3 linked regions of the Oryctolagus cuniculus genome follow. The protein of the gene in region 1 interacts with the protein of each later gene in a biochemical or structural test. Links are inferred from orthologs where the notes say so. Each region holds a gene or a part of one and is shown in the gene's direction. Other genes may lie near its edges.

Evidence for each region. The genes of interacting proteins can lie anywhere in the genome.
Region 2: the proteins of guanine nucleotide-binding protein G(q) subunit alpha (region 1) and RGS4 form a complex in vitro, tested with the Homo sapiens proteins (3 studies listed by BioGRID). The link is inferred for Oryctolagus cuniculus from reciprocal best matches to the Homo sapiens genes GNAQ and RGS4.
Region 3: the proteins of guanine nucleotide-binding protein G(q) subunit alpha (region 1) and PLCB1 form a complex in vitro, tested with the Homo sapiens proteins (2 studies listed by BioGRID, with this or other methods). The link is inferred for Oryctolagus cuniculus from reciprocal best matches to the Homo sapiens genes GNAQ and PLCB1.

What each region holds. Positions count from the first base shown.
Region 1 is NC_091432.1:152,216,739-152,221,037, forward strand, and holds the start of guanine nucleotide-binding protein G(q) subunit alpha, read left to right. Parts: upstream 1-1,499; 5' UTR 1,500-1,690; coding exon 1,691-1,826; intron 1,827-4,299. Other genes in the region: uncharacterized protein, read right to left, coding at 1-91, 357-577.
Region 2 is NC_091438.1:35,611,581-35,615,724, reverse strand, and holds the start of RGS4 (regulator of G-protein signaling 4), read left to right. Parts: upstream 1-1,344; 5' UTR 1,345-1,464; coding exon 1,465-1,508; intron 1,509-4,144. UniProt on the Homo sapiens protein: Inhibits signal transduction by increasing the GTPase activity of G protein alpha subunits thereby driving them into their inactive GDP-bound form. Activity on G(z)-alpha is inhibited by phosphorylation of the G-protein.
Region 3 is NC_091442.1:33,006,022-33,010,262, forward strand, and holds the start of PLCB1 (1-phosphatidylinositol 4,5-bisphosphate phosphodiesterase beta-1), read left to right. Parts: upstream 1-1,441; 5' UTR 1,442-1,464; coding exon 1,465-1,575; intron 1,576-3,655; coding exon 3,656-3,733; intron 3,734-4,241.

The sequences.
Region 1 (4,299 bases):
AGCCACCCATAAGTTCCATCTCGGTGGAGCAGGGTACATTCGGTGACTTGGCTGTGAAAACATCGCGTGCCTTTTCAAAAACGAGGAGCATCTGTAAAACGGAAACAAGAACAACAGAAAACCAAAACCAAAATCACCTCAACAGCATGAAAAGTTGGAGCCTGCCAGGAAGCTCCCGGCAACTTGGGCAGCTTCATTTTTCTGCTCAGATTTCTATCTCAAGTGAATTGCAGGGTCCTCGCCCCCTACCCCTCGGGGAGGCAGTGACCACTCCTCTCCGGCCACAGCCCACCCGGAGAGAATCGTATTTTCTAAGATTCAACTGGGGTCAGTAGTGACGAGAGGCAGCTTCTAACCGAATGGCGTTTGAGGAATAACCTCGGGAAAAGACAGAGGCCACCGCACAGCGGCCTCGCGGAGCCGGGCAGGGGGTCTCCGGCGCTGCCAGCGGGGAGCCGGGCAGGGGGTCTCCGGCGCCAGCCGGTGCATGGGCTCGGGGCCGACTCCCGCGGCTTCCAGGCGGGGCCGAGGCGGCGCTCCGGGGCTGGTGGGCTGAGAGGCAGGCGGAGGCCGCCATATTCCCGCTCCACCACGCCCGGGCGGCCGCAGGTTGCCGGGGTTCCGGCCCGCGGTCGCAGCCGCCCGCTCAACCCGAGCGGCTGTCAGCGGGCCCTGCCCCTAGCCGAGGGCGGCTGCGTCCGCCGGAGCCCGCCGGCCTCCACGGAGGGCGCGGGAGAGGGCGGCGCCCGCGGAGCCTGAGGGGGCCGGCCCAGTCAGGGAGCTGCGCGAGCGAGGCGAGAGCCGCACTGGGCGGCGCGGCGCGCGGCTGCGAGCCCAGGGAGAGCCTTCCAAGAGGGGCCGGGCGGCTCCGCCTCCCGCGCCCGTCCCTCCGCCTCCGCCTCCTGCCCCTCCTCCTCCTCCGCCTCCTCCCGCCGCCGCCGCTGCCGCCGCCGCCGCCGCCTCCCTCCCGGATCTGTGCTCCAGTTCAGAGAAAGAAGAAAATGTGTGTGTGTGGCGAGGGGGAGGGCGATCACTGAGCAGCCGCTCCGCGCCTGGCAATCGGGGCCGGGGGTGGGCGTTTGGCGGAGGCGGAGGCGGAGGCGGAGGCGGAGGAGCGCGCGGCGGGCCGGGCCGGCGAGCGGGGTTTGCGCGCTTAGCCGGGCGGTGGGCGCGGGCAGGGCCGCGGGCGCCCGGGAGCCGTGTCAGGCGGCGGCGAGGAGCGGGCGCGCCGGGTGCGGGGAGCGGTCGGCGGCCGCTCGCTAGGGGGGCGCCCCGGTGGATGTGCTCTCGCCGCCGGGCGCAAACCGTAGGGGAGCCTCGGCGGCGGCGCGGGGGGCGAGGCGGGCTGCCCGTTCCCGGGGAAGGAGGCGCGGGCGTCTGAGCGAGGCCGGGCGCGGCGGCCTTCCCTTGCGCGCCCCCCGAGCCAGCGCCCGCGGCCGCCTCCCGCGCCCGCCTCGCTCCGCCGGGCGGCGAAGGCCTCCTGCGCCCGCCTAGACCCCGGCCCACCTGGTGGCCCCGGCCCTGGCCGTCGCCCCCGCGGCGGTTCCGCGATCTCATCCCGGACGCGCGCCCAGGCGGCGGGGGCTCAGCGGCCACCGCTGCCTCGGGGGAGCGAGGGCGGGAGGGTGTGTGTGTGCGCGCGTGTGAGCAGGGGGTGCCGGCGGGGCTGCAGCGGAGGCACTTTGGAAGAATGACTCTGGAGTCCATCATGGCGTGCTGCCTGAGCGAGGAGGCCAAGGAAGCCCGGCGGATCAACGACGAGATCGAGCGGCAGCTCCGCAGGGACAAGCGGGACGCCCGCCGGGAGCTCAAACTGCTGCTACTGGGTGAGTACGGCCCGGGCCGGCCGTGCGGGCCCTCCCCCGGGCCTCTGCGCGCCCCCAGCCCCCGCCTCCGGCCCCTCCGGGCAGCCGCCCCCAGCCCCCGGGCTCGCCCCTACCCTCCCCGGGCGCGCCCCCGGCCTCCACCCGCACCCGCGCGGGTACGCGCGCGCGCGCACACACACGCCCGTGCGCGCGGAGGGTTCGGGGCTGCCTTGTTGGGTGCCTCGGCGCGTGCTGTCTTGTGTGTCCCTTGTTGTGGGGGGGGCTTGCGTTCTCTGCGGTGTCTCTGCTCAATGGCAGATCAGATCTGGCTAGGGGCGCGGGGCTGGGAAGGTGGGCTGAGGGCTTGAACTTGCAGCGCCGGGGCCGCCGCGCCCCCAGGGGTGGTGGAGCTGTGTGTGTGTGTGTGTGTGTGTGTGTGTATGTCGCCCGGAGGGTGGCGAGCCGAGCCGGGGCACAGGGCGCGGGCGGGCGGGGGGGAGATGGCGCGCCGTGAGGTGGCCGTTGTGCATCCATTATCGGTGCGTTCTGGGGTCCAGGAGAAGTGGGGGAGCCACCGGTGGGCAGACTGGCGAGTGGGATCCCCAGGGGTGAAAACTAGAAGCCCAGCAGGGGTCGACCCTCCCCAGCCAGGGGTTCGTGGGGTGGGGGCGGGGAGGGCGGGCAAGCCCCCGTGTGTCACCCGAGTGTTCTTCTGCAGCCACCAGGCCACCCACAGGAGGGGCCCAGCAGAGTTTCTTGGCCAGTGGATGGTGGCAGGCGTGCTTCTCGGCTGCACCATTCCTTCCGGATTAGGACCGGGGCGAGGGGAGCGTGGCTGGCGTGGTTGTTGACAGCGACGGGTATCTTTTGTCTAATGAGGCATCCCAGATCTAGGCCTGAATTCACAACAGTACCGCAGCCTTTCCGTCCCTCTCCGGGGGAAAGAGAGAAACCTTTTGTTTGAAACGGACAGCATTGTAGTGTCTTGGGCATCAGGGCTGCAAAGGAAAATTTCCCTCTGGTCTCTGAATCAACAGCCCCGCGTTCTGCTTTCACGCGAAGTTAGCAAGAGAATGCCGTCTCTCGAATAGGCGTCTATGGATGATTACCTCCGAGAGAATGCTCGGAATCAGGCCACCAGGGTTCACAGACAAGCCAGCGTGAGGGCACCCGGAGCTATTGTGGTCGGCAGAGGCCTGGAGGACGTCTGCACTTGTGTTCTGCGTGTTTGTGTGTGCATAATAAATGCGCGTCTCCGACAGGAGAGAGTGTGGTCTGGGCAGTTCGGGTGGCAGAAGCCTGTATTCCCTCTCTTATCTTGAGCATTCCATCTGCTGGAGAACCAACTGTCTTTGGGGACTCAACTGCTCGTGCACTGGATCCTTTGCAAACAGGAACAAAATAACAGGGCCACCCGTACTTACGAATGGCTACTCTGCTCGCCGGGCTGTGTGTCTTCCTTCTGAAGCCCTGTTAGACAAATGTACACAGGTTCATAAAGGAACAGAAGGCAGCGGGCTGGGGGGAAGAGGTGGGCTTGAGGCCGTGAAGCCGGGGGAGGGAAACACTGCGCTTGGAAAGTGAGGTTCTTTAAAAAAATATATTTTTTTTAAATTTTATTCTCATTTTGGAGGTTGAACATTTTCTGAATTCTCGGGATTGAGAAGAAAGTGGAGAGAACAAGGGAAGGTGTTTAAATACAGAATTCAGGGGAGAAAACATGTGGTGAAGAGAGACTTGTTTGAAGAGCTGGGTTTTCTTTTCCTTTTGCCCTGTTTACTGCCTTTATTTGTTTCTGTTTAGCTGTGAACAGGGCGTCTAAGGTCTCTGCAGTCAGCTCTGTTGGCCTGAACTATGACAGCTCTGGGTTTCCCAGCAGCTGTGCCTTAGCACAGGGGCTTTGTCAGAGGGCCTGGGTTTGAATGCCCAAGAGGGAAGAACACTTCCATAGAGGCTTAATTACATGCCCTGTGCTGTGCTTTTATGGAATGAACCGGGAGATCATTTTCTGAGGAAAGAAAAATGTAAGGTACAGTTTCACAGCTTACGTGGTGGTGGTGTGGAGACTTCGCTCTTATTAGACATTTCAGTAGGGTTTCATATGGCCCACCTCATCCCCATACTATGGCCCATTAGAAGTGGTAGAAAAATAGGATATTAATTGAGCATCTACATTCATGAGTGCCATTTGAAAATGCATCTCTCTGACAGAAGCTTGATCCTCACACATCGTTAGGAATTCCTACTTCATGTTCTAGGCGTGTGGCTTTTGTGACTTAACCAGTGCAGTGCCCACACTACTCACGTGGTAAAGATAGGTGCTGAATGTAGATGTGTGCCTGTGTGTGAATGGTGGGTGAGTCCAGGAGGGAGCCGAGGGCTGAGCTGAGCAGGGAAGGGTAACGGGGCGGCTTCCGGCAGAGGGATTTCTGCTGTGCTGCTCTGATGAGTACCCTGAATTTTCCCGATCCTTCCTTCATTTACACAGAGCCTA
Region 2 (4,144 bases), on another chromosome or scaffold:
GGGGGACATACAGGTACAGCTCTTTTCCATTTTGCATTCTGTCTTCGCACTCTCTTTGCATTCTACTGGCTCCCATCTATTTTTCATCTTTCCCACCTGAACTACTTGATATCTCTGTTTCTTCTAAGTAAAGCACAGCTCCCTGTAGCTTGCGGTCAGAAATCTACCTGCTTTCAAAATGAGAGCTGTCTGGGTCAGACTTGGTATTTAATTTCCCCCTTGTACTCACAGCTTTCAGATACAAAGAAGCACTCTCTGCAGTTCTAGTGTACATGAGCTATGATTGTAAGATACGAAACACCTGCATGATTCTTTAAAATATTCAGTCTATGATATTACATGCAAAAGATACTAATAGTCTCGGTGTTCAGAAGTACCTGCAGGGCAGAATATTCTTATGCTAACCCTGAAGCCAGGTAATAGGCAAAGCAAACCATATTTTTCTGCCTGCCTGCTCTCTGGAGCATTTCTCTTTCTCTGTCTTTCCTTCTCTCCCTCCCTTTCTTCCTCTTGAAATACCAATTTAGAAGCTTAGAATTACATAAGACATGAACACAGTTGCTAACAAGAATCAGTATCTATATTTATTCATCTCCTTGCTGCCCTGGACCTCAGGCTGCTATTTGAGGCTTTTTGCAGGAGGCAAGCATGTACAGGAGAAATTGTCAGTGCTGGGCTGAATTCTGTTCTTAATAAGAATTGGAGCAAAGTATTCTACAGTCAGTTTGATGACAGATGCAGCAAATCTATTTCTCCTGGGCCAGCTTTTCTATGCTGCCAGGCATATTCCTGTCTGCCATTTAGCTATTTCTCCCCACACCTCCGTGTGTCTTGCAATGGAGAAATCATCTCTCGGAGACGATGATCCTCCCACCTGCCTTTTGGAAATCGAGCAGGTCAAATATTGGGTCACATACAATGTGATGTTTCTCATCCAAAAGAGAAAGTGTGTTGAGATTCAACCCCCAAAGTGTGCCTTAGAATTCCTACTGGCACCTTTCCGTTCCGGAGGCAATGTTGTCCCTGATACTGTTTTTACAGACAAAAGAATAAACTCCCATATTTTCCAACACTGTAGACTTTTATTTTTCCCGTCTCTAGAAGTTAAAAATCACAGACATTTGTAGAGATATTGAGTCACTTTTTTCATGTATGTCTATTTTGGAAGAGGATTTTCCCAGCTTGTCCATTTTGCATGGCTGATGCGTAAGTCCTTTCTTCCTCCTGCCTTCCAGGGGCTGGAGAGGCAGAGGAGACAGGCGCTGGTACCGCAGAGCTGTTATCTGATTGGCTCGTCGCTCGTGGCCGGGCTATAAAAGAGACCCCTACAGGCCTGGAAAGGAGAAGCTCAGGATTCTGGCAGCATCTTTGCAGGAGTGAAACCGAAGCTTGAGCAAAACAGAGGCCACAGCTCCTCCTGCTGCGTTTCTTTCCTCCTCGGCGAATCCCACGCTGTTAGACAAGATGTGCAAAGGGCTTGCAGGTCTGCCGGCTTCCTGCTTGAGGAGGTAAGATTGTTTTCAGCTACTAACTACGTTCAACTTTTGGACAGACTTTCTCAGTTACTTGCTAGTTGTGTTTACTAACCTGGTTCTTTGGAGTAGCAGTCTGATCAGGGGAGAATATTTCCCTGGATTTTCTCCAAGAATAACTTGATTTGTGACTTAAGAACTGTGCTTCCCAAATTCTGATATTAGTGTGTTGTTTCATGTGACCTCAGTTTTGAAAACTGTTGTGATCTTTTAGCCAAGTCCTCTAACTAAGCTAGTGCTGATTAAGAATCATATGAGGTGTTGACTCTACTTGCTGTATCTGTGATCACCTCCATTATGTGAGCATACCTGGATAATTGCAAGCACTGTGACTCTCTGAAATTCATTTAGGGGAGGACACCTCGGAATGAACTTGTGCTACATCATCAGAAAGCCACAATGCTTTCTGTTGGGGCTACAGTATCGTTCTATATTCTCATAAACAAATGTCACAATGAAATAGTTTCTATGCTACATGTCTCTTTTTTTCTCTGTTCTTATCTCTCATTCTTAAAGTGTCTTATGTGAGTGGTAGTTAAGGAGTATTGATTATAACAAGTCATCTGAGGGTTCTGTAGAAGAGCTCATCCTAAAGAGATTGTTTTGTCAATATAAAAACAAAGACTTAAAAATATATAGCTACTCTTCTGTCTTTTTAAATAGGCGTAAGTAGATGATTTCAGAAAATGCTAGATATTCATCAGTTGAAAGTAAAATACAAAATGAGAGCGTATTACATCACTTAATCTTGCAGCTAAAGGTAAAAAGTCAATCTGCAAGTGTACTACCTCTTTTCTTGTCTCCCTGCAAAGAACAATCACCTTACATTTCAATTTGGAGTTAATTCCAAGAAGCATAATCTTTTGTGTGTTTTGAAGCCATTTGCCTTTCATTCAGAAGCAGGACAGTATTGATATATTCTCCGTAATGAAGCAGGAGGTTCTGGTAGAGAGTACTGATGGGATAAATACCTCTCACCTTCACCATTAATTTCCTAACTGGATAGAGCAAGACCATCCACGCTTCAGTTAAATCACATATAAAATTAATCATGCAAAATGCAGAAGTGTCAGGGAAAAGTTATGCTCCAGTAAATATTTAGTGATTCATAGATGGGAGATTGTGCTAGAGGTCTGCCCTTGAGGCACTGAGCAACTGATTGAGAAGGTTAAGCTCACAGTCAGTAGGTAGCTGTTCTTCCCCTCCTCACAGGGGAAACGTCAATCATCTAGTCCAGCACTTTCTCCAGCAGTGCCCGAGCTTCCGGAGGGACTTCCCACTGCCCGGGGTGTGTGAGTGAAGATCACATCCAGTTCCTCATTCCAGTGACTTCTGAAGTGATTTTCGTTTTTATTTGTACTGTTTTATTACGTTAAAAGGATACTTTCTGTGCATACTCTCAACTCATTAGGAAATGACCCTACACTGGGCAGTCAATAGCCATGGGATCTCAAACAGAGGAGGCACATGGTAGTACGGAATAATTTCTATTTACATTGACTCACAATACACTCATGCCATCACCTTAGAACCACTCTAGGCTTCAGGAATATATCTTGCTATCATTAAGGAGAATTTCCCAATCCCTGTGCAGTCACCAGTTGAGAAAGCAGAGAAAGGCAAATAGTCATGTGAAGAAGAGAAAATACCATTTAGGGGGCAGTCCAAGGACCTAATGGAATTCAAACTTTCTTGGGAAGCCGACATAGATAAACCTTTAGTATATCAATAACCATTCTAAAATTTCTTTTTACCCTTTATTTCCCCCCTACAAGTAGGAACACTTAGCTATCCATTTCTTTTTAAAATCATTTCTCTTTTTAACTATTTTGTAGCTTTTATAGTAAGAGATACAAGCAAAAACATGGTAGTGTAAGAGAAGAGGTAAAAGCTTATCTCTGGGCCTCCTTTTTGAGCTACTGAGGAGTACTGACATAGCCTGGTCACCTATGAAATGGCAATACACCAGAAACTCTGCCCGCAATCGCAATCACTAGTTTCAGGAGTGATTCTAGATGGCTTCTTCAGTGTATAAATATTAAAAAAGAAGGCAATAGCAGCACTATATTGTCTGGAAGAACTAATCTAAAGGAACGTGGGTTTCACCCTGAGCATTTGCGTTAACCACTCCATTTCTGAAGCTACACACCTCAGTATGTACTCCATATTTACCCCATAACACATATTTCTTGTTCCATCACATATTTGGATGGAAAGAAAGAGACCCTTAATTTCCAAAGGAGCTTCTTACTCTGCCTGCAAGGAGACAGATGACAATAGCAACCAACCACCAGAAGGGGGCGTGCAGCAAAAAGGTGTCGAATTTTGCAGTTACTGCTGCTTTCTAACTCCTAAAAATTACTCAAAGAACAGTCATGTCTTCTTGTGTGGTTATATTGATGATACCAAGTGTTTCATTGTTGCACCAAAATGGCATGTGTACAGAACGGGCTTCTAAGACAGATTGAAGGGTCAGAATTCCAATTATAGATAAGTAAACCAGTGTTATGACTCTCATCTCAAGGTTGTGCATTAACTCATTGGCAGAAACAAGTGTTGCTTTCCTGAGAATTAATGCCAACTTCATCTCCTATTCCCTAAATTAACTGTCT
Region 3 (4,241 bases), on another chromosome or scaffold:
GAGGTGGGAAAAATAGGGAATTAAAAATGAATACTCTTGTATTTCTGGGTCAAATCCTGCTTTGCATGGCAACCGTGCCAGTTCCAGCTGATCTTGGAGTGTTAGAGGTGATTATGGAGGAGGCAGGCAGGGAGCTGAGGTAAATGATCATTTGACAGGGGAGCTGTGGTTGGAAGAGTGGGGTCAAGAAAATATTGAACAAAGGAGCTTTGAATTTGAAGGAGGTGAGAAAATAACCTAGAATAGAAGTTTCTGAAGCAAATGAGGCAGACTAGTAAAGTGTTCCAAAGTATGAATTTGGGCAGCTTCACTCTAACTTAAATAGTTGATTCTCGGAGATCCTTATAGTGAATTGCCAATGAATATTTTGATTAGAATCTTGATGAATCCCCAATAAATAAAAGGAACTGACCTGAAAATTATGTTGTACCTGCAGGTTAATTTCATTCATCTGGCAGTGGTAATGTGTGCTGTGTGCAATCTCTCAGAAGCTTTTATTTTCTCACCCCTGAAGAGTGAAACAGGACTGAAAATATTGCTGTGACTTATTGGAAATATTTCTGTGAACTGTTATGCATGCAATATCATAGAAGAAGCTTAAAATAGTTTAAAAGTTGTTTTTTTTCCCAATAGGATATTACATTTGTTTCCAACTGCCTTTCCTTTGACATTTAAATTTAAAAGTAATGTTGAAATTTTAAAATACTAGTTGAAGTTCCATGCAACAGCACAATCCTTATAAAAGATATTTCTCAAACTACATGTTCAGAATATATGTCGAGAATATTGGGCATTTTCTCTTAGCTAAAACTTCCAGTGGTGGTAGGGTGGAAAGTATCACTATGCTCCTAAATCTAAATATATGAAATACATGACATTTGTTCACCTTATATAAAGAAAAAATATTTTAAAAAATTTTAAAAAAGAATATCAGAACCAAACAGCATGGCAATTCCTCAGAAAATTAAACACAGAACTACTCTATGATCTAGCAATCGCACCTCTGGGTGTAGACTGAAATGAATTGAAAGCAGGGTCTCAAAGAGATCTTGGTCCACCTGTCTTCATAATGACATTATTCACAATTGACAAAAACAACCCAAATACCCGCTGACAGATGAATAGATAAATAAAACATGGTATATACATAAAGTGGGATATTATTCAGTCTTTAAAATGAAGGCAATTTGATAATGCTGTAATATGGATGAACTTGGAGAACATTATACTAAATTAAATAAGACAGACATGAAGGAAGACACTGATATAATTCTACTTATATGAGTTAACTACAATATCAAAGTTACAGACACAGAAAGTAAAATGGTGTAGGGGCTGGCCTTGTAGGGCAACAGATTAAGTTGCCATTTGTGACATAGGCATCCCATATCACAATGCCGATTTGAGTCCCAGCTGCTCCACTTCTTATCCAGCTTCCGGCTGGTGCACCCAGGAAAATAGCTGATGATACCCCAAATACTCAGATCCTTTCCACCCAGGTGGGAGATGTGGTTGGTGTTCTTGGCTTTGGCCTGGTCCAGCCCTGGTTTGATGGACTATTTGGAGAATGAACATGTAGGTAGACAATCTCTCTGTCTCTCCCTCTCTCTCCATTGCCTGCCTTTCAAATAAATAAATATATCTTAAAAATAAAATGGACAGGGAGCTAAGAAGTTGCACTATTCTACTACTACTACTAGTACTACTACTACTAGTACTAAATGCCTGCCATAACGGGGGATGAGCCAGGCCAAAGCCAGGTCTCCCATGTAGATGATAGGGATGCATGGACTGGACCATCACCTGCTGCCTCCCAGGATTCACATTAGCAGGAAGCCAGAATTGGGAGTGGAGCTGAAACTTGAATCCAGGCACTCCAATAAGGCATGTGGGCATCCCAAGTGGCATCTCAACCACTATGCCAAATGCTCTGCCATAGATAATGTTTAAAGTCTGAAAAGTTTCAGGTTGAGAAGATGAAACATTTCTGGAGCAGGCTGGTGGTGAATGTACTTAACACCAATGAACTGTATACTTCAAATTGGTAAATTTTATATCATGTGTATTCTACCATAGTAAAAAGGCATATCAAGATATATTTTCAATTATAACTTAATACATTTGATTTTAAATATAATCCATTATATCAACAGTTTATGTGGAAAACATTTGTCCAGGTCCTTCACCCACACTATTCTATTTAAGCCTTGTAATAAGTCTGCTGGGCAGGTTTTATTATTATCCCCTTTCCTTCAGTTGTGTAAAATGAGGCACTAAAAGGGAACAGTTAGGAATTTGAATTCCAGAGGACAGCCTCTTAGAACCAGGCTCCTCTAATAACACTTAACATGTAGATTAAATTAATACTATTATATCCATCAGACAGAAAAGTCACCAAATTCCAAAATTATCTCTTCAGGTTCTTTATTACAAGTTCTTTGATCACATAGAAGATATGATACATGATAATTAGAATATGTATGAAAACATTTAAAAGGACAGCCAATTTATGGCTCTTTGAAAAATACAATTCCTGCAAAGGCCTGAGTTTTTCTACATAAAACTCTATATCTGGTGACATGTATTTTCTTGTGTAGATGGTATGTCGTTCTGAAAATTTCCAAAAGACATGACCAGATATTTTAGAAATGTTTAATGTTACTTACTCCTCATGTAGGATCTCTGTCCTTAACGTGCTGTACATTGTGATTTAATGCTGTAACTAGTACTCAAACAGTATTTTTCACTTTGTGTTTCTATGTGGGTGCAAACTGTTGAAATCTTTACTTAATATATGCTAAACTGATCTGTATATAAAGAGAATTGAAAATGATTCTTGATGTGAATGGAAGGGGAGAGGGAGCGGGAGATGGGAGGGTTGCGGGTGGGAGGGAAGTTATGGGGGAGGGAAGTTATGGGGGGGAAAACCATTGTAATCCATAAGCTGTACTTTGGAAATTTATATTCATTAAATAAAAGTTAAAAAAAAAACTTAAAAAAAAGCAAATACAAAAAAAAGAAATGTTTAATGTTACTATTAAAATTACAGTTCATACAACATTTGCTTTATAACAGGCATACTTTAAATGCAGAAGACTGTCTGTGATGTTTTATTTTAGTATGTGAAATTTAAATTTTCAACAGTTTTGTGTATCTCTTTCCCAATATGGAGAAAATGGCCTTATTTACTGTTACCTTGGAAACAGCAATGGCCAAATGCTATGTTTATTCTCTTTAGTATAATTAAAAATCATTTTATGGAGAAAATGTAATTTAAAATATTATCCTTGAGCCTGAATTTTAATTAACTGTAGTCATATGGAATATGCAATGATGGTTAGTGTTAAAGTCACTTAAAAATTAAATATAGATTTTTAATAGAAAACATGTCAATGCCTTTCAAAACTTGTCTTCATCAATAAATGCCTCACTGACCATTCCTTTAGAGTTATGTACAAATATTCTGATTACTGTTACTGTTATATTCAGTAATCCTTTGAAGTTAAAAATTCTGTGTCTAATTTTTAAAATATTTTCTTTTAGTTGAAATCTTCAGAGAAACTCTTAACCATTATTATTTCTCAAGAAACTCCTGTGGAGATCTTTCTACAGTTGCATATGTTGATATACATGTTTTGTTTTCTTATATTTTTAGGACTCCACTATTGTTACTCCAATTATTTTGAGGACTGACCCTCAGGGATTTTTCTTTTACTGGACAGATCAAAATAAGGTAATAAATAAAATATATCTTTCTTACATTTTCCTGTTGGTTACTGATTTGCAAAGCTAGTATCTTATCTGAAAATATGTACCTATTTCACAGATGAATTTTTGTAATTTATTTAGTGCTATACTTCCAAAGAACATCTAAGGCCAAACTTTATAGGACTTTATAAGGATTCCAGTTTAAAATACTAGATTTGCTAAATCATAGAGCAATTGATATTTTTCAGTTTGCTTATATTATTTGGTAGGACAAGAATATGGAAATATAAACCACATCTGATGTGAACATACATAGCCAATGATGCCAATTTAAGTCCCCATCCATAAAGAATGAAGGAAAAGGATGATGAAATGACCTTTGACCCTCATGAACATAGCTTTTGCTTTTTCATTCTCTCTCTTCTTCCTTATGCTCTTCAGTAAGTGGTCTGCTGGCATCAGCAAGAATTTGGCTTTTACAATTTGCTCATGTTAGAAAATTAAGAAAAAGATTTCTTTAGCTTACTGCTGAA